2 linked regions of the Canis lupus familiaris genome follow. The protein of the gene in region 1 interacts with the protein of each later gene in a pairwise test. Links are inferred from orthologs where the notes say so. Each region holds a gene or a part of one and is shown on either strand. Other genes may lie near its edges.

What was found.
Region 2: the proteins of BMX (region 1) and PTPN21 interact in binary tests that used the Homo sapiens proteins (3 or more experiments, as listed by UniProt). The link is inferred for Canis lupus familiaris from reciprocal best matches to the Homo sapiens genes BMX and PTPN21.

The regions. Positions count from the first base shown.
Region 1 is NC_049260.1:11,782,511-11,793,509, forward strand, and holds the start of BMX (cytoplasmic tyrosine-protein kinase BMX), read left to right. Parts: upstream 1-4,256; 5' UTR 4,257-4,467; coding exon 4,468-4,470; intron 4,471-9,463; exon of another isoform or gene 9,464-9,597; intron 9,598-10,469; coding exon 10,470-10,616; intron 10,617-10,999. UniProt on the Homo sapiens protein: Non-receptor tyrosine kinase that plays central but diverse modulatory roles in various signaling processes involved in the regulation of actin reorganization, cell migration, cell proliferation and survival, cell adhesion, and apoptosis.
Region 2 is NC_049229.1:60,038,772-60,049,277, reverse strand, and holds part of PTPN21 (tyrosine-protein phosphatase non-receptor type 21), read left to right. Parts: intron 1-282; coding exon 283-1,703; intron 1,704-6,160; coding exon 6,161-6,298; intron 6,299-7,448; coding exon 7,449-7,670; intron 7,671-10,506.

The sequences.
Region 1 (10,999 bases):
TTAAATGACAAATGCCTTTGGAATATTCCAAGTTAGGGATTCAGACTCACCAAACCTAGGAAATCCATCGGCTCCAAATCAGACACTGAGTGTTTTGTAAGCATTAGTTTACAAAGGTCATTAATGTGCTGGTGGTTGAGGACATCCACATACATCCAACAGAGATGAGGATAAGTGACTCCCACTTCCACCCTCGTGAGAGCAATCTGCACAGACCAGGTCTGTTCTAGCACCCAGGCTTCTGACCCAGAAGCTACATGTGATCAACCATTGATTGCATGAAACTCAGGACTGTGTTCCTATCTTTCCCATGGGTTTTTGGCAGCATTCCAGAAAAAAAACAGCTTATGACCCTCTCTTTTGAGCCACAGAAATTTCCTAGAATTCAACACAAGCAAAATGGTCTTGGCCCTGAAAGGCTGATTCATCTCTGAACCAAGGAAGTAGAGAAAGGTGAGTGATGCCCCTGATACTTACCTCAGTTACCCTGCTAACCTTACTCAGTTTCTGGCTTTTATGTGGTCGTGTCTTCTGGGTAAATGGAGACTGCTTTCAAGACCACAGAATTGGAGTTAAAATAAAAGGCTAATTTGACTTAACCCCTCTAGGTAATTAACGTTAGGATGCTGAAGTGTTCCTGGATGAGGTGTACTGGTGTCTGCAATTTCCTTTGAATGCACCAGAAATAACAACAATGATCAGAGTAGTAGTAGCAGTAGAAGCAGTAAGACCAATAAAGGAGGATTGATGGATGGATAGAGAGATGGATAAACACATACAACAAAGCAAGTAGAGCAAAATCTAATTGCCCAATCTAGATGGCAGGTGTATGGGTGCTCGCCGTACAATTCTTTTACCTTTCCTGTATTTTGAAATTCCTCATGATAAATTTCTGGGAAAGATAATTTGAATCAAAGTGGGAATCATGGCTGGAAAGTTTCCATAAAGCCACCTCCTTTGCCTATTTTCTTCACTTCCAACTCTGGCACCATGTACACAGTATGATTCAGTGAGCGTCTGTGGAGTTGGGCTGTCGAATTTAATTCCAATCTACTAGGTCATTTCCACAGCTGGCAAGACTCTCCTAGAGCATGAGTTGGCAGTTTTTTTCTGTGAAGGCCAGATAGTAAATATTTGAGACTTTGCAGGCATACGGTCTCTGTTGCAACTACTCCGCTAGGCCGCTGCGCACAATATATAAGGAATGGATGTGGCTGTGCTCCGATACATTTTACTTACAAAAGCAGGTGGTGGTCATAGTTTGCCAACTCCATCTTGGGCCCCAAATCCCTCCACTAAAAAAAAAAAAAAAAAAAAAAAAGAGGGTAAAATTGATAGCGTGCCAACAGGCTCTGTAAAGATTTCATATGTATCAGGATAGGTCCTAACAAAAAGGAACAGCAAAACTTCTCATGTCTACCTCTATCCCCCACTTACCCATCTCCTCTCATAAGAACCAAGTCTAATTGCTCCACCACTGAGCCTGAGGTTTAATAGGCAAGCATTTCTAGGAGAGGTGATACCTTAATGTTCCATCCCAATAAGTGTTGACTGTTCACATCAGATCCCAACCTCCAAGGAGATCCTCTTACCATCAGGGGAATACATGCGAGAGGTGATGGAGTGGCATCCCCGGTGAAGAGATTCCCATGGAAAAAGCTCTGGGTGCAGAGAGATGCCCCCAGGACTTACTCTTTAAAAAGCGGAGACAGACATTAAAAGTAATAAAAAAGAGGATCCCTGGGTGGGTCAGCAGTTTAGCGCCTACCTTCAGCCCAGGACGTGATCCTAGAGACCCAGGATTGAGTCCCACGTTGGGGTCCCTGCATGGAGCCTGCTTCTCCCTCTGCCTGTGTCTCTGCCTCTCTCTCTCTCTCTCTCTCTGTGTGTGTGCGTGTGTGTGTGTATCTCTCATGAATAAATCAATAAAAATATTTTTTTAAAAAGTAGTAAGTAAGTAAATCATGTATCAGGTTTTAAGGTGTTAAGTGCTGTGGAAAAAGACAAAGTAGGGCAGAGTAAGGGAGACTGGCAGTGCTGGGTGGAGAGAGGTTGTAGTAGTAAACAAGGTGGTCCAGGTAGGGCTCATTAGGAGGATGCCATTTGAAGCAAAGCCCAGAGATGAGCAAAGGAACCAGGCAGACAGATGTCTGTGACAGTTTGCCGGGCAGAGGAAACTACCAGTGCAAAGGCCCTGGGGCAGACAGTGCTTAGAATAGTGTAGGAGTAGCGAGGAGGCCAGCTTTAGGAGAATCATGATGAGATGATGTTAGAGACCGCACTCCGGGACCAGAAAAGGGGGGACCAATGGAGAGTTCAGACTGGGCGAGTGGCAGGATTCGAGTCGCTTGTGAAAGAATCGCTCTGGCTAGCCAGTGGAGAACAGACCTCCAGGAGCAAGAGCCGAAGCAGGGATAGCAGCCAGGAGGCAGGGGCGACATTGCAGGTGAGGGATGGTGGCGACTTAGACCAGCAAGTAGCAGTAGAGGTGGTGCGCGCGCTCTCTCTCTCTCTCTCTCTCTCTCTCACACACACACACACACACACACACACACACACACACACACACAATGGATCCTTTCAGGTTCTTTCTTAGCTAAAGATGAGCGCTACTCCTCCCAAGTGGACAAGCTTGTTTACCTCAGGAAGTCGAATTATCTCCTGCATCCCTGCAGAAGCTCATCGCCTGTTAACGACTTGCGTGAACAAGCTTTAGGGAACATTCCTAAGGGTCTCACCGGGTACAGGTGACCATGTAGGCTATAACTGGAACAAATTAAATCATGTGATCGAAGCAGCAGGTTGCCAACAACGGGTTAGAATCACACTGAAGGCACGGAAAATGCCTTCCAGAGCCAAGGGAAGGTTGGGGCGAAGCGGCCGAGGAAGGGAATGAATGGAGTAAGTCAATAAATCTATGACACTTGACTCGGAGGAAGCCACCCCTCCCTGCTGCCCTGGAGTCTCTCAAGGCCCCAGAAGGGATGGGGATCCTAAGAGACTGTGCCCAGGTGTTTCCAGGGCGCTACCACTACCTCCTTCCCCACCCCGAAATTGACAGTCCCTTCTAGAATTGGTCTCCTGCCAGGGGACCATGTTTAAACAGTGGAGTTAAATACACATCGCAGAGCGTAGCATCAACCCATGTGGCCAAGTAGCGGCGCCACGGTCCTCGGCTTCACCCCGAGTTTCTGGCATGACTGCCTACTGCCTTCCCAGAGCCCGAAGAGCTACTGGGGCTCCAGCCGCGACTCATTTGCTCTCAGGGTGTAAGCTCCCCTCTTGCGAATTCTTCCGAAGGGCTCTTTGCCCCTTCCCGAACCACGCGGGTTTCAAGCAGAAACGTCAACAGCGCCTCGGCCAAGCTGTTTTCCACGCGCTCTACTCAGCTAGACCTTCCCTTGGGGTTCTCTGCCTGCAGCCGACAGAAGGCCCTGGAAGGTGCGGGCTGCCCCTGCCCGGCCTACTACGGTCTGCAGCCCCTCACGGAGCCCTTGGCACATGGTAGGTTCTGGGCAGGACGCGTCCGCTCAACAGACCACCCCTTGGAGAGTCGGTAGCTTCGCTCCCCGCGGCCAGCCCAAGATTTCATCACCCCATAGATGTTTCCAAATAGGCTCACGTAGCCGACCACGTGTGAGTTGATACGGCGTGTCCCTGCATAGCAGAGGGATGATGGGGGGGGCGGTTGGCGGTGGAGAGCAGAGCCTCGAAGAACTCAGTAGACGTATTACAGATGGCCCGTCAGTGGGGACCGGAGAGGAGGGTGGCACGAGGAGGGCCAAGAGAGGTCATACTGTCCTGACGATGTCCAGGGACTCACGCTCCTTCACCGCAATCTGGGTGCCTGGCACGTTAGCCAGAGCGATCCCTTTTCCACTTGGGGAGTCCCTGAATAATTGTCCCATGTGTTCCTTTTCGGGCACACTGCCGTCCTTCTCTGCCACCCCCCCGGCCCCCCTCCGGCCAGCGGTGAGCTGCAGTGTTCATTGCTTATTCTCTGCGCTCTTTGGCGTTACCTCATGGTTTCCTGGCTCGTGGGAGAAGTCAGCGTCAGAAGCGGGCTTTTGCCGAGCTCGTTTCTTGTCCTTCCCAGCGCAGAGCTCTCTAAACAAAGGCAGGGTTATCGCACGAACCCGAGGGCTGCCCGGGAAAAGCAGGCGCTGTGGTTATCAAAATTGGAACCTTTATGAAACACGCTTTTGTCTCCGTTTGTGTTGCATTCAATCAGATCAACAAGTGTTGGCTAAGTGCTGAGCGTGGTTTCCTGTGGGATTGTGTAAGGCCCTTGCAGGACAATAAACGTTTTGGGGGCACTGAGTAATGTAGCCATTTCGGACCCAGCCGCCGGGAAAATGTGAGACGGTCCGCTGCCGCTGGAAGGAAGGAGGGCAGCCGCGCCTGTGTGCGTGCAAGAGCAGACTGACCCCTCGGCGGTGGACCCCCGGCGGCCGATCGAGAGCCACAATGGTGCGTTGCAGCGGCAGGTGGCCACACGAGGTCATAGCCGACAGGCTGACAGGTTCAGAGTGATGCATATGACGTTGCTGGGGCTCCTCCGGGGACTTTGGATGAGACCGTGTAATTGGGAGGCCCGCTGCGGTTTTACTGTCACCCCCCCACCCCCACCCCAGCTCAAAATCTCGTTCAGGGGAGCTGTCAGGTGGTGTGTACACGGCCGTGGGCTCCAGCCAGCCCCGGGTGCTTCCTCTGCTGGCTTTCTCCGTACTACTCTGCAGGCATTGCCCCTCCGTGACTTTGCATGTTGGCTTCCTAACTGCTTCCGAAAAGCCAGAGAAGTGTCATTCTGACCCTCTTTTATTTACCTGGGTTTTTATGCTGTTCGTTTCACTACGAGTGCTCGTTCTCAGGTTCCTGAAGTCTTCCAGAGTCTGGGGTTTCGGGGTGGGGGTGGATTTTAGGTGGTGATGGGAAGATGGGGCAGGTGAGCCTTTCGGTTACGGTCACGGCCAGATACCTTAGAAAATTCTTGCAGCCCACGGTAATTTCACTGGGTTTAAGAAGTAGTACAAGGGTATCGTGGTCTAGGGCAGGGCTTTCCAAGCTTTCATGAGCACGTGAGGCGCCTGGGGACCTCGCCAAAATGCAGATTCCGATGCACCAGGTCTGGGGGGGAACTGAGGGTCTGCGTGTCTCTCGAGCTCCCGGGCCACGCTGATACTCCAGTCCACGGACCACTCCTGCAGTAGCAGCCACGTATCACTGATTTGGAAAAAACCTAGTGGCACAAAAACACAGGCGGGAAGGGGCTGCTTCAACCTGATTCTAAGGAAAGCAGTCCCAGGATTGAAAGCTTGTACCAGACGCACAGGGCAGGTGCTTGCTGACAAGAGAGTGCGTGGGGCATCTTCCTGCCTCCCGTGATCGCCCATCCCCAGGACCCGGGTAAGAGGGGTGAAGACTGAAATATTATCCTCGAGGGTCATTTCATCATCTTGAGTTTTTAACTTTTCCTATGGTCCTTTTTTTTTTTTTTTTTTTGACTTTACCTATGGAGTGATGAGGGGAAGGGGTATAGAATTTGGGAACATCTGCGAGCGTGCTGGGCATCCTACTGCCATCTTCTCTTGACTCCTCAGAACCCCTCCAGGTGGTTACTATTTTCCTCCCTTTACAGATGGGGAAGCTGGGCTTTAGCAGGGCTGAGTGACATGCCGGGGTGCACAGAGATGGAACAGGGATTTGAACCCACCATCTTGGTGCTTTTGCCCACACCAGCCTGTATCACCCAAAGCAGTGCTGTGTGTTACTAATTCAGCATAAGGAATTAGGACATGGATTTATCACTTGTTGCTTTTTTCCTAACCACCCCATAAGGTGACTGAATTAGGACATACCCCACAGGATGGTGTGTGGGGGGGTGGCCTACCCCTCCCCCCCGCTGGAGTAAATGAATGCATATTTTTAAGGTGCTTTAAATAGTGCCCGGCACAAGGCAAGTCTTCCTTAAATGTCAGCTAGGATCATTATTGCTACCATCACTCATATCCTTCAAGACCTAGTTTTAACACCCTTCCTTCCATAATGTCTTTCTTGATTATCTTAAGAAAAAAGAAACAACTCTCCTTCCCTGGGCCTTTCGGGGCAAAGAGAACATGGACTCTGCTCTAACATTCGAGTTGTTTCTTTCCCCCCTCTTCTTTTTCAATCGTGGTTCAGCGCCCAGGGCGCACCCAGAACGTTTACATAAGCTTTCTCATTCAAGCCCCAGAAAGTGAGAGAGCTGTATAACCCATCTTATCTTACAGATCCGGAAAATTGAAGCTTAGCGCAGGGAAGGGGCTCGGTCGGGGTGACCCAGCTCCCAAATGACAGTCGTGTAAAGTCCGCCACGCCTTCTGAGTCCACCCTCCACCCCCAGCCTCCGCCCCTCCAGCCACCCTGCACGTTAATTAGGTATGAGACCCATCTCTCGGGTCTGCTCCTTGTCACCCGGGCAGTGGAGAGCTGATCCTCTCGGTTCTGGAACCACTCACTCGAGGTCCGGCCCGCCGCGGGCTCAGAATCGAGTGTGCTGGGCCTGCAGGGTTGAACTCCTTGCTCTCCTGGTCACGCTTCCTTACGGATGCTCACCAATCCTGGTGATTCCAAGTCGTGTTAATTTAGCATTCACCTTTTACTTATGTGATAGGTTACCTGATGGTTGCTGGCATCCTTAGAGAAAATGCTATATTGGTTTCTTTTTTTAAAACCTAAAATTTGTTTAAAGATTATTTATTTATGTATTTGAGAAAAAGGGGGGGAGCACGCACGAGCAGGGGGCGGGGCAGAGGGGGAGGGAGAAGCAGGTTCCCAGATGAGCAAGGAGCCCAACCACCGAGCCGGGGACTCGATCTCAGGACCCCGGGATCATGACCTGAGCCGAAAGCAGATGCTTACTCGAGTGAGCCCCCCAGGCGCCTCTACTATATCGATTTCTGCCAGTTTTTTTTGTTTTGTTTTGTTTCTTTGTTTTTGCCTCCCCTCACTTTAATCTCCTTCTAGTTTCATGTGCTTATGGAAATGGGCAGCCCGCCTATTTGGTAAGCAAATTGATGTGCCTGTTTCATGTAGACGGTAATGTGAGAGCCCAGCCAAATTCTGCCAACTTCTCTATGGAAATAGATTTCTGGCTAATACCACCAGCTTTAGGATCTCATTTCATTTCAAAAGTTTTGTGTGGGTTTTTTTTTTTTTTTGGTTCTGTTTTGTTTTTATCTTCCCACTGAGTATTCCTTAGGCATGGGTAGGCAGAGCCGAATTTGCTAGCTGTTGGACAGGCATTTGACTCAACAGTGGAGCCTGTTGACTTATTGTCCTAATACAGGGAGGAAATATTATGTTTCTAAAAATTAAGCATCACCGATTACCTCTTCCTGTACCAGGGGAGACCTTAAGAATGCCTTCAGTTTAGAATCTAGGCTGATGTAGCAGAAGAGAGAAGTACAAGGAAGGGAGAGAAGCAAACAGAGGTAGAAAGGCTGGAGCCAGGTACTGTCTTAGAAGAAACTGATCTGGACGAGACAAAACGTGAGTCATCAAAACGGTGTTCTTCAAGTTTGTTAGGAAGCTCCGGGGTCCAGCTGAGGGAGTAGAAGTTTGAAGGTCTCCAAAGACATGTGTGTGTTACATGAGAACAGGGGCGCCTGGGTGGCTCAGTGGGTTCAGCATCTGCCTTTGGCTCAGGTCATGACCCCAGGGGCCTGGGATCAAGCCTCACATTGGGCTCCTTGTTCAGCAGGGGACCTGCTTCTCCCTCTGCCTCTGTCTGCTGCTCCCCCTGCTCGAGCTCTCTTTCAAATAAATATTTTTTAAAAAGGCGGGACTTTGGAATGAACAACTTTATTGAAATTTGACAGATTATATCGCATCGGATGCAACAACATGCATAAAGCCCTGGAGACTTACAAGAAAATGTGCTCAAGGACTTGCTACTTTTCCTGTCTGGCCAATGTTCTTCCCTTTAATATACAGAAGCAACTTTGTGAATTTCATTTGTCAACAGTTTCTGTGACTCACCAGATTAATTTTTAGATAAAATCCCCCCAAATCTTTAATGCAATGAATATAAATGTTCTATAAACAGAAGTGTGTGTATGATCATGCGGTACTGGGACAGTTTGCTTACTATCTGGGACGTTAGGATTTGCATTTTTTAAAACGGTGCTTTTAACGTTATGAGTTTATTCAGTACCTGACAAAGTTTTGAAGAGTAAACTTTCTTTTTCTTCTTTTCTTTTTGAAAAGTAAACTTTCTATTCAACTAACCAGATCTATTTAACTAGCATTCCGCTTTGAGGAGTCCTGTTCTAGCAGTGGATATAAAAGACGTTTGATAAAAGTTTTCACAGTTTTCTTTATACCCTTTGTTAGTAAAATTTTTAAATGCAGGGATGTAAAAGACAAAAGTATCTTAAAACTTACCACAAGTGCCCAATGTGGTATGGCTCCCCCAAAGGGGAATGTACCTCAAAAAAACTAGACCCTCCACAGTTTCAGTAAGTCTTCAAGGAAATTCTCTTCCGGCCATAGACTTTGGATGTAGAAAATCATCTTCTCTGAACAGGCGCATTTGTAGAGTTTCTAACGAAGACGTGTTACCTGACTTCCCAGATCCTGCTGGGTTTACCTAAGCCCCCCAGCCTCTGCCCATCTTTGAGTCTGGAGGCCAAGAAACCAGTGACCACGACAAATAGCACCCACTGTGCTCAAAAGAAATCCATTCTACTTTCCCAAAGGATTTATCCTTTTTTTCCTAGATAAAACAATGTTCAAAACAAAAAGTAATGGATAAGATTTGTAATGGATAAGATCTCCATTACTTCTGCCTCTAAATCAAATGATGCCCTTGGAGAACATTTGAGTCACTTCATCTGTATAAATAATGAACATAAGCTGATTTTCTTGATTCCTGTTTCTAGAATGTTATGGTCTACATCAGGAGGGAAGCTGGCTGGACTTGACCATGGTTTATCCAATGTGTCTCCCTTCCCTCCCTCTTCCCTGCCATTGTAGGCCTGTCACGCTCAAGGCCAGTGAGAAGTGACTTTTAGTGATTGGACAGGTTCACGTACCCCCCCACCCGCATCCACACAGAGCAACGCCTATGTGGATGCTTCCGGATGGAGAGTGATAAATAGGATGCAAATATCTTCTTTGTAATGCGTGATCCTGGCATAGCCAGAGGGAATATGAGTACCTCAGAGCAGCAACTTTTGGCTTAGAGCTTGAGAGTTGAAGTTAAGGACCCATAAGCAAACTCCAGCTGATCCTGATTGAATGCAAGGTGAGTAAAGTTAATGACATTCAGATTATCAGTAAACAAAGAGAGGTAGAAATTATTGAACATCTGACTGCTAGTACTCATGTGATTTCACAAAGTGAAGAAAACATAGGAAAGTTTCTCTCTTGTGACCTACCAATTAACATTCCTTTTTTTTTTAACATTACTTTTCCTTTCCAGACTTAATATCGAACTGAGGGTTGAAGCGACAGTCTTAGTAGAACCAGAAAATTGATGGACTTATTTTCTAGAGATACCTTAAGCTTTAATGTTTTCCATGGCTCTGGAAGGAAAAGCAAGAGCGTTCTTGTTTTGTAAGGCGCCAATTTTTTTTTCAATTCTTTAAAATGGATGTCGATAGCATTTTTAAATGTTCTGTGCTCAGAAATATTGAAAAGTATACTCGTGTCCTTTATGTTAAAGATCTGATCACGATCAGGAACTGTGGGTATCACTTACAATGATAGCAGAGTCTCACAGTGGTCTGGAGGATTTGGTCAGACAGCCAGACACATTAGTGGAGAGAAATTTGTTGATCAGTCCCTTCAGATATAGTGAGCTGTCTGGAGTTCAAATATTTCAAAGTTTGATCATATATAATCTGATTCAACAAATGCCTATAGAATGTTTAAGGAATAAGGAGAATTTCAATAAGGTGGTCTGGAGGGTAGTGCAAAGATGGTGAATTTATGATCCAAAGTGGGAGGCGAGTAAAAATACATAAGATGCTGTAAACAAATCAACACTATTTATAAAAGTCAGAGCTGGGCCACCTGTGTGGCTCAGTGGTTGAGCGTCTGCCTTTGGTTCAGGATGTGATCCCCCGGGTCCTAGGATTGAGTCCCACATAGGGCTCCCCGCGGTAGGTGGCGGGGGGGGGGGGGGAGCCTGCTTCTCCCTCTGCCTGTGTCTCTGCCTCTGTGTGTGTGTGTGTCTCTCATGAATAAATAAATAAAATCTTTAAAAAAAAAATCAGAGCCAAGGCTGTAGGAATGAAATACAGATGTAAGTGTTGTTAAGAATCTGCTTAGTTAAAATTTCCTCTCTAACTCTAAATCTGATTTTTAAGAATTATATTATTTAGATTATCCCTGAATGAGAAATAGTTGACTAAAAATTCTGAAGGCTAAAAGAGAATGTAGCTAGGTGCCGCAAACACTCATTCTCATTATTTTATTTGATTTAGGACGACAATATGGACACAAAATCCATTCTAGAAGAACTTCTTCTCAAAAGGTCACAGCAAAAAAAGAAAATGTCGCCAAGCAATTACAAAGAGAGGCTTTTTGTTTTAACCAAAACAAATCTCTCCTACTATGAATATGACAAAATGGTGAGACCCTACTTGTTCCATTGTTTTTGTACTATTTATTTTTCTTGAGTCTCCACAAAGTGCTGAATTACAGTGAAACAATGTCAGGTTTCTTAGCTCACACAGTAAAGATCAACCTGCCTTCACTTATTACATTGTCTTTTCTTAACGAAGGTAGGATTAATTCAAGATAAAAGGTTTTACAATATTGGCTAACTTTACTAAGGCAATTTGTAACTTTAGAACACTGGTTCTCGACTGAGGGTAATCTGGCCCCCGAGAGGGCATTTTTGGTTATCATAATTTGGAGGGGGGGGTGTAGTGTGCTACTGGCATCTAGTGGGTAGAGGCCAGGGATGCTGCTAAGCCTCCTATAATGTACAGAACGGCCCCCATCACAAAGA
Region 2 (10,506 bases), on another chromosome or scaffold:
TTCATCTTTACTGGGGGCCAAATCCTGAAATACCACCCTCAGAGTAGGCGAGCCATCACCATTCTGTAGATAAGGATGCCGGGACTCCAGGAAATGAGACGCCCACAGTCGTTCAGAGAGTCTGGGCAAAGCCAGGTTATTTCTGCATGGAGTTTTGTAAGCAACACTGAAAATGTCATCAGCTTTCAGGGCCTATCTCAGTGTTTGCCCAGAGTCATGGGTCCGATTCATATATCTTAAAATCACATTTAAAAATACCTCTTAAATGTGTTTGTTTCCTAGACAACCTCTTTGCGACCAACCAGAATGGATACTATTGTCACTCTCTGACAAGTCTGGATCGAGCCCAGATTGACCTCAGTGGCCGGATCCGAAACGGCAGTGTATACAGTGCCCACAGTACCAACTCCCTCAACAACCCGCAGCCCTACCTGCAGCCCTCCCCAGTGTCCTCCAACCCAAGCATCACCGGGAGTGACGTCATGAGGCCCGACTACGTGCCCTCGCACCGGCACAGCGCGCTGGTCCCCCCGTCCTACCGCCCGACCCCGGATTACGAGACGGTGATGAAGCAGCTCAACAGGGGAATGGTGCACGCCGAGAGGCAGAGCCACTCGCTGCGAAACCTCAACATCGGCAACTCGTATGCCTACAGCAGGCCCGATGCGCTGGTCTACAGCCAGCCAGAGATTCGGGAGCACGCCCACCTCGCCTCCCCGCAGTCGGCCCACTACCCGTTCAGCCTCAACTACAGTTTCCACAGCCCGTCTCCCTACCCGCACCCCGCCGAGCGACGCCCGGTGGTGGGTGCTGTCAGTGTGCCCGAGCTGACCAACGTGCAGCTGCAGGCTCAGGACTACCCTGCGCCCAACATCATGCGGACGCAGGTGTACCGCCCGCCGCCGCCCTACCCGCCCCCGCGGCCGGCCAACAGCACCCCGGACCTGTCCCGCCACCTGTACATAAGCAGCAGCAACCCCGACCTCATCACCAGGCGCGTGCACCACTCGGTGCAGACCTTCCAGGAGGCCAGCCTGCCGGTGGCGCACTCCCTGCAGGAGGTCAGCGAGCCGCTCACGGCCGCCCGGCGCGCGCACCTGCACAAGAGGAACAGCATCGAGGTGGCAGGGCTGGCGCACAGCCTCGAGGGCCTGCGGCTCAAGGAGCGCACCCTGTCCGCCTCGGCCGCCGACCCGCCGCCGCGGCCCGTCTCGGCAGGCTCCCAGCCCGGCGGCTTCCCCGAAAGGGCCGAGCGGGACCAGGCGGACGAGCGGGGAGGCCTGGCCTACGGCCACAAGAAGTCTCTGTCTGACGCCACCATGCTGATCCACAGCAGCGAGGACGAGGAGGACCTGGAGGAGGACGTGGCCTCACTGGCGGTGCCTCTTCCACAGGCCCGCGCGCCCCGAGGCCGCCACTCCCCGGAGCCACCCCCACCGCCTCCCCCCGGCCCCTCCCGCGGCCCCGGCGGCCCCACCCCTGCTGCCCTGGGCCAGGGTGCCCTGCCAGGCCGCGAGCCCGTGCCTCTGCTCAGGGAGGCCCACCGACCCCGCAGAGAGGGGCTGCTCACGCCCTCCATGTCCGAGTCCGACCTCACCACGTCGGGGCGCTACCGAGCCAGGAGGGACTCCCTGAAGCAGCGGCCGGTGTCGGATCTCCTCTCTGGAAAGAAGAACGTCGTGGAAGGCCTTCCGCCGCTAGGGGTAAGCCAGTGGCGCTGAGGGCGCCAGGTGCGCCGGGTGAGCCAGGTGAGCCAGGTGAAGCAGGTGAGCCGAGGGCGCCGAGTGTGCGCCTGTGCCCCGGCGGGCTGCACTCTGCGAGCTCTCCTCATCCCCCAGGCCTCACACCCACACAATTTCTGTCGTATTTGGAACACTGAGTCTGATCGTCTATGGAAATAAGGGGATCCGTTAGCATTCTAGTAGTTTTGCTGGAGATCATTAGTGAAAGTGAAGCTTGGGATGGAAGTGGAGGGCAGGAGGAAAGGGCCTGGCGCTGCCGTGTTAAGGAAAAGGAAGATAAGACGCAAGCCTGCTCTGTTAGTGACCTGTGAGAAACCCCGTGGGGTGATGCAGCAGGGCGGGGCTGCATGTCTGAGAAGCACCCCCCAACGCAGGTGTTGCTGGTGTCCGAGTGTGTGGGTGCAGCTTGAATTCACCTGGCCATGATCTCTGAGGGTCTCACAGTGATCTGGAGCTGGGAAAGTGGCACTTTGTCCGGACCAAACACCTGAGAACTCTCAAGTGTCTTTATTTTATTATTTTTTTTCCAAGTGTCTTTAGAAAAAAGATTCCTTGGAGAAAATGCAGCTCTTTGATTCTCACGGTAAAAGTAACCAAGAGTTACGACTTCCTATTTATTTGGGGCAAAATATAAAAGCATAACATCACCTCTAGCTGCCATTCCTGGGGCATTTTTACCATGTTCTGAGACGCGTCCAGCTTACAACAGGCCTATTGTTTCTTGGGAAGAGAAAACAGACTCTGAGATGTTAATGTAGCTTTTCCAAGGTCACACAGCTAGTGGGTGACTGAACTGGAATTTTAAACCCGTGTTTATCTCTGCACCCTACTCTATCATATTTTACACTGTTCTACACTGAGGTATATTGTATATAATGTTTTATTAAGTAGCTATTGCTTATCTCAGCCTTGCTGTTTTCTCTCTTTCCACCCAAATGTTTTGAGTCACAGGCATTGGCCAGGCATGTGTGCCTTTGTCATTTAAGTGCGGCTCCTCCAAGTCACCTTGCTGCGTTGCTCAGGCCTCTGGTTCCTTGCTGCCCGTGCCGCCGTGCCGGGAGCCCCGCACTCTAACCAAGCTAACACGCTTAATTAGCCGATCCAGTTCTCTCAGCGCCCTGGCAGGGAGGACTCCTCCCCCACCTGATAGTCTGCATACTCAGGCTTGAGGACCCATCACAAGCATAGTATCTTCATAAACTGGAAGAAAACTCACAAATTTTGCAGTGTGTAGAGGTAGACTGAGACCCCTTAAAATAGTGCTGGGGATTTAAAAAAAGCCATGTTTGCTTTTGATGAATTTGGGGCTTGAACTTTTAAGTTTATTTTAAATTTTTCTTGGGATTATATTCTTCCCTACCTGAACAGTAAAGACCAGTGTGTCTCAGGTCGGGTGGAGTGGAAGGTATGGATCCTGATCAACTATTCGGGGTGGGGACAGGGTGTGGGTGTGTCTCTGAAAGGTAATTCTACCTCAGTCCCTGAGCCAGCTGGACAGGGTCCTTTTCATTTTTTTTATTTTTATTTTTATTTATGAATGATAGTCACACACAGAGAGAGAGAGAGAGAGACAGAGACACAGGCAGAGGGAGAAGCAGGCTCCATGCACCAGGAGCCCGACGTGGGATTCGATCCCGGGTCTCCAGGATCGCACCCTGGGCCAAAGGCAGGCGCCAAACCGCTGCGCCACCCAGGGATCCCTTTTTCATAGTTCATAGTAGTTTCCCTAATCACATCAAGAACTGTCCATCTTTGTTTGTGTGTGTGTGTGTGTGTGTGTGTGTTTAGAGAAAGTGTGTGAGTGGGGGGCAGGGGGAGAGGGAGAGAGAGACTCTTAAGCTGGCTCTCTGCCCAACATATGGAGCTTGATGTGGGGCTCCATCTCACCCCCCTAAGGTCATGACCTGAGCTGAAATCCAGAGTCAGACGCTTAACCACCTGAGCCAACCAGGGGCCCCAGAACTATCCATCATTTTTATGCATGACCAAAATATTTTTCCCAAATGACATTTGTTTTGAGTATAGTCCACTATTCACACATATGGTCCCTGTACCTTTTGAAGGGGATGTAGCAAGATCCCCCAAATCTGAGGCTTTTGATGAGTTTGGTTCTCTAAAAGGACAGGTTTCGGGGATCCCTGGGTGGCTTAGCGGTTTAGCTCCTGGCTTCGGTCGAGGGTGTGATCCTGGAGTCCTGGGATTGAGTCCCACATCAGACTCCCTGCATGGAGCCTGCTTCTCCCTCTACCTATGTCTCTGCCTCTCTCTCTGTCTCTCTCTGTATCTCTCATGAATAAATAAATAAAAATCTTAAAAAAAAAAAAAAGACAGGTTTCCTCCCTCGTTGACTTTAAGCCACAGTATTAGTACAATTTTGTGATTGGATTATGCTCTTGCTCCCTTTTTCAGCATAACATATTCTCCTTGCTTGAAGAACATGTATGGCAGCTGTGGCTCTGGGGAAAGGTATAGGACCTAAGAGTGGAAGAGCTTGGGTCTGAGGCTACACCCTCCCATTTATTAGTTCTCTGCCCCGTGGGCTGGACCCAGCAGCATCAGAACCTTCTCTCCCTCTGTAGCAGGGGACTGTCACCTCTGCCCTGCCTGCTGTGTTAAGTCCCACCTAAGGTTAGGCATGAAAAACACTTTGCAGATTCTATGATGGAACATAGATGACTCTAAAGAAAGGTTTTTATTGTTTTGACACTGGTTGCCATTTATAAAGAGGTGGCTCTGTGACCTTGGGCAAGCTGTTCCGCCTCTCTGACTCCTTTACTTATTTGTCACGTTTTCTTATTTGTGAGGGAAGCTGACCCCAGAGAGTTGTGGGCGAAGTGAGGTCGAAGTTAGCTTGTACGTGAGGTTGTCTCCTACTGACTTCCCAAGTACTGAAGAGCTCTACCCCCCACCTCGCTAAGCCCCTGGGCCTCCTCATAGTCCCGTGGGGTTGCCGTGACCTTCACTCTTACGACCTTCACTGTTACTACAGACGGACTTAGTTTCCATACTCACATGTGAATTAAGGTTATGGGAGTTTAGTATTAAAAACAGTGAACCAAGTTGCAGACAAGCAGAAACACTTTAGAGTTCTCCACCCGTCTCCACTCCCCGGAACCTGATTGCTATCTGAAAAAGAGTGGGCTGGTGGGAGTGCTCCCACAGCCTGGTACAGATTTTGCTCCTGTGCTCGCTGGGTCCCGGGTGGTGGTTCTCACAGAAATCACAGCGGGGCAGCGCCCTGAACCCTTTGGGTCCACCATGCTCCAGGGCGGTGCTGCTTTTGACTGTGTGTGCCTTTCTTCACCCACTGGCTTTAGACCTTGGCCTTCCAGCCGGCATGGTAGGGCGGCCCTCCTGACCTCATTCTCAGGCGGGGGGCAGCTGGAGCCACCTTGTCCTGGCTGGCTAGAGCTGGCTTGAATTGTCAGGAATCTGGCGAGCCCCTTGATGTTCCCTTGGCAGCTTGAGTATTGGCATCGGGGAAACTGGCCAACGGGGCCAGTCAGGACCCTCCCTCCCAGAGCCCCCCACCAGTTGTTAAACAGCAGCAAACCAGGGTTTTCTGCCCAAGTCAGAATCGTGACAGTTTAGCCCGTGCAACAACCTCTCCACCTCCCCTGCCCGGACTGGTAGAGCTGGGGTGTAAAGCTCATTTCCTTTGTGAGACGTGAGAACACCCTGTCACAGCACTGTGGCAGTTGCTGTGGCCCCCCGAGGAGGTGTGGCATGTCTGAGGAGACTGCGCCTTCTTGGGCTCATCTGCCGAAGAGAGGAAGATCATTACCTATAGTCACGTTAGGAGATGCGCATCTCCAGGAGACAGATGCCCTGTCCTGTAGCCCATCTTCCTGGCGTCACCATGGAGATTTCAGTCCTCTTTGATTTTCCTAATTAAAAATGTGCCCGTTCTGAGAGGTGTCACCAATCCGACACAGGTCCCACCCGTCAGAACAGAGAGCAACCACAGAAAACACTTCATCTTTTCAGAATGACTTAAAAGAACTAGGTTATATATTTTTAAAATATCACAAAAGCCTATTGCAGTCACGTAACTTCGTGTAAAACCCATTTTTTGTGGATTGTCACTGATTTTTGTGCGCGTGTCACGTGTTGAAATTTGGGAGTTCTATGGAGGAATGCTGCCTGCCTGGAGCCGCACCTTTCGTTACTACAGAGACTTGAATTGTATTTCAAAATCTTCTATCTGCAAGACTTATCAGGGCTTTGGCCTTGAAAGGAATGTCTTCTTCCCAATGTTTGCTAAACAAATGTGCGTGTGGAGCGTAATCTCTCCCGTGCCTGTGGGTGAAGGAGAACACTCCTTCCCTTTGTTTCAAGTCCTCAGTACCCTGAAATTGCCTTTCAAGGGGGTTGTATTCGTGTATATTTCATATATACATATATAAATATTTTTATAGGGAATGAAGAAGAGCCGGGTAGATGCTAAAAAAATTGGTCCTCTCAAGTTGGCTGCCCTAAATGGACTCTCCCTCTCTCGACTGCCTCTGCCAGATGAAGGAAAGGAAGTGCCCGCCAGAGCCACCAATGACGAGAGGGTATGTACGAGACATATGGATATACTGGTATGCTTTCTCTGGAACGATCCATAAAGGCCAAGTGCCTTCTTGAGATTTTAGTCACTTTGCTAATCTAATCATCGTAAATGAGTGTTAAGGCATTTTATAATTTGGACCTCAAAGTTGGGACAAATCTAATATGTTAGATAATTTTAGAGTAAATGTCGGTTCTGTTTGTTGGTTTCTGAATGTTCTTTACCTTCTTCCAGCCTTCTGCAGCAGTCTTGATTTTTTGATAGCTTTTCAGTTTAGAGGAATTCTACAAGTACACATGAGTACACACAGGAAAGAGAACACTGATTGACTGCTTTCGTTGTACTGAAAATTCATCTCAGGAGTAAATAGTTCCCGAATTTTTCACGACTTTCTTGGTAACCAAGATATATTTGCTATGAGGTTATATTATATCAAAATTAGGCATGAAATAATGCTAAGTAAAAATTAATTTGCTTACAACTGGATCCTGGAGATAATTTCAGTATTAACTCTTTTTTTCAGTTTCTGTATATCATAGATCAGAAAACAAACAGAAGCCTTTGTTCATAGAGGTTGGAATTGATTCTCCTACGTACGCTAGGACTTACCGTTCTCCAGGAGAATTTTCTCTCTCTCCTAGGAGTCACAAAATTGACCATAGATTTAGAGAAAATTAATCCAACCAATTATTTTAGACCAGTTTTCACTTTTAAATAGAACTCTGCATTCTGCTTCTCACCAACAAGGTGCTTTCATTTGTTATTTTAACTCTTAGCGTTACAGCTTATTAAAAATTTAGCTGTGGTTTCACCTAGAGTTTTCACTACTAGATAATGCTAGACTTAAAGTGGGAAGACAAGGTTTCAGATATGCCATCAGAATGCAGTGTGGACAGGGACCGCCTGGGTGGCTCAGCGGTTTAGCACCTGCCTTCAGCCCAGGGCATGATCCTGGAGACCTGGGATCGAGTCCCACGTCGGGCTCCCTGCATGGAGCCTGCTTCTCCCTCTGCCTGTGTCTCTGCCTATCTCTCTCTCTCTCTCTCTCTCTCTGTCTCTCATGAATAAATAAATAAAACCTTAAAAAAAAAAAAAGAGAGAATGCAGCATGGATATAGGACAATACTGATCATCCCATACATTCTGTTTTACAGTGTAAAATTCTGGAACAGCGGTTAGAACAGGGAATGGTATTCACAGAATATGAAAAAATTCTTAAAAAACGGCTGGTTGATGGGGAGTGCTCAACAGCACGACTCCCTGAAAATGCAGAAAGAAATCGATTCCAAGATGTCCTTCCCTACGATGACGCCAGAGTGGAGCTGGTCCCAACTAAAGAAAACAATACGGGCTACATCAACGCGTCACATATTAAGGTGAGAGGAGCGAGCAGGGCTACAACAGGCTGTGAAGTTGTGAGTTCAGCTACAGGAATGATGAGAACTGTATCCACGTCTATGTTCTAAAAACAGGCTAGTTGGAACCATTGGGACAAATTATGTTATTAAGCTGGGAAATCCATACACCTGGCCGGGTGGGAGGTGTTTTACCAATAGAGCCAAAGCCGCATTCGCCCTCCCACGTGCTAAGCCCTGTGCCCCCCACACTGCTGCCAGGAGTCAGGGAGCACTCTTTGGCCTGACCTGAGGACCTTAGGACTTCGTTCTTCTAAATCTAGAGATTTCTTTCTGGCCCATCGATTATCTCCAGAGTGGCAGAATGGCTAGTTTTTCGTGATCACATACCTGCATTGATTCTTATGTGGCAAAGATGTCTGGGTATTTTGGTTTTTGTTTTGAAATTATTTGTATATATAATGATATATTAATTATTAATATATTATTAACATATTACAATATATAATATGTTAATAATATATATAAGTATATATTTATATTTATAGAGCACACGTGAGAGAGAGCACACACAAACGTGCGTGAGCAGAGAAGAGCAGAGAGAGGATCTTTTCTTTTTTTCTTTTTTTTCTTTTTTTTTAATATTTTTTATTTTTTATTTTTTTTTGAGAGAGAGGATCTTGAGCAGGCTCCATGCTCAGCACAGAGCCTCGACTTGGGGATCAGCTTCACAACTCTGAGATCATGACCTGAGTCAGAACCAAGAGTCTGAGGCTTAATGTACTTAGCCTCCCAGGAGCCCTGTCTGGGTGTTTTTAATGGTGGTCACCAAACCTTTTCCGCGTGTCGTCTGTTCTCTTTGCATCATTCTTGTCATCACTAATTTTTTTTTTTTAAGATTTTATTTATTCATTCATTTATTTATTTACTTACTTATTTAAACATGAGTGGGGGTGAGGGTAGAGGGAGAAGCAGGCTACTGGCTGAGCAGGGAGCCTGACTTGAGGCTGGATCGGGACTCTGGGATTGTGACCTGAGCCGAAGGCAGCCGCTAAACTGAGCCACCCAGGTAGCCTTCCTGTGATCATGTTTTGTTTTGTTTTGTTTTTTTAAAGATTTTATTTATTGATTCATGAGACACAGAGAGAGAGGCAGAGACACAGGCAGAGGGAGAAGCAGGCTCCATGCCGGGAGCCTGACGTGGGACTCGATCCTGGGTCTCCAGGATCACACCCTGAGCTGAAGGCAGCGCTAAACCACTGAGCCATCCTGGCTGTCCTGGGATCATGTTTCAATATCGTTTTTGTTCTTTGTGGAAGCGGTGCCGCTTTTTCCCGAGGGGCAGTGTGATGCCATTGAACTGGGGTCATGTTACACCCATTAAAATGGGAAAAAGTGATGATTCCCACCTGGTAGGTGAGGGAAACCAGGGGCTCTCTCTTCTGCATCATTGTACATTTTGCATGTGCTGCTTGGAGATACAGTCCTTTTATTTTGAGAAGGAGAAGCTTCCTTGTTGGGAGTGAATGAGGAAGTATCCATGGTCAGGTATCTATCTTCTTGCCCACATCTTATTTCATTTGCAAGTGGTATCTGATGAGCGCAGTTTCACACTCGCTTTCAGAGACCTGGCAGTCTGCCTGTGGATGCCAGTACCCTTCATGGTCTTTGGGAATCTGCATGTGCTTTTTAATATGGGTATAGGGGCACCTGGCGGGGGCTCAGTTGTTGATCATGTCATGATCCTGGGGTCCTGGGATCGAGTCCCGCATCGGGCTCCTTCTGCCTGTGTCTCTGCCTCTCTCTGTGTCTCTCATGAGTAAATAATATCTTAAAAAAAAAATAATTTGGGTATAATTTATTTAAAAACCAAGCATTTCTGTGGAATAACTCATCCAGCCTCTTGTGACTGGATGGGTGAGAACTGAATCAAGTTGTCCTGTGTGGGTATTGCAGAAGCTACCGAGGTCAGCTGAAGAGCATGGAAGATGGCCAAGCCTCAGAGCTCCTAGATCTGTTACCTGTCAGCATGGGGCTCCCTGTGCTTTCCTCTGAATAAAGCGCTGACACCTCCCCTGGGGTGGCCCCAGACCCCCACCCACACCCTGTTACTCACTGTGGTGCTGGTAGCACCGAGGGAGCCCCTCTCAGTGAGATTCCAGCCGGTGGCCCTGAATGAAAGTATGGGCAGAATAACCCAGGCACTGTGGTCACCAACATGGGGCGGGGGGGGGGGGGGGGGGGCGGTGGGCTTTAACCCAATCTCCTGGCCGTAGATCCAGCAATGGCTCTGTTCCCTTAGACTGTCCTCAAGGGGATGCAGCCTCAGGTGGAAGCTTAGTGTCATTCTGGAGGGTGACCTTGACTTAGAAGTTCAGAGGGGAGACCACTTTCAGTAGGAGTATTTTTTTCTGCCCCAGAAATCTGGCATTTAACCTCGGTTTTGGCTGGATTGTTACTACTTTGCCTACTGTGTTTAGTACTTCATGAAGGGAAACTGTGTTTGAAATTTAGGATACTGTTATGGTGATACTGTTTTTCTAAGAAGAACCGTAACAGCAGCACTAACAACTGTGTATGGAAAACCTATTGATGTGCAAGCACCTTATACACTGACTAATTTAGTCCTGCCAACCACCCTATGAGGTACAGGACATTTTTATCTTACACATGTGAATAGAGAGAGAGGTTAAGCAAATTGCCCCAGGTCATGTAGATATGTGAATTTAGAGTCCATACATTTATAATCCGGTAGTAATAGGAATTGTATTAACAAGGAAAAAGAATAAGAGAAATCTTTATTCTGAATAACTCATTTTTTAGTACCACCATAAATGAATGTGCATACATGTATGCA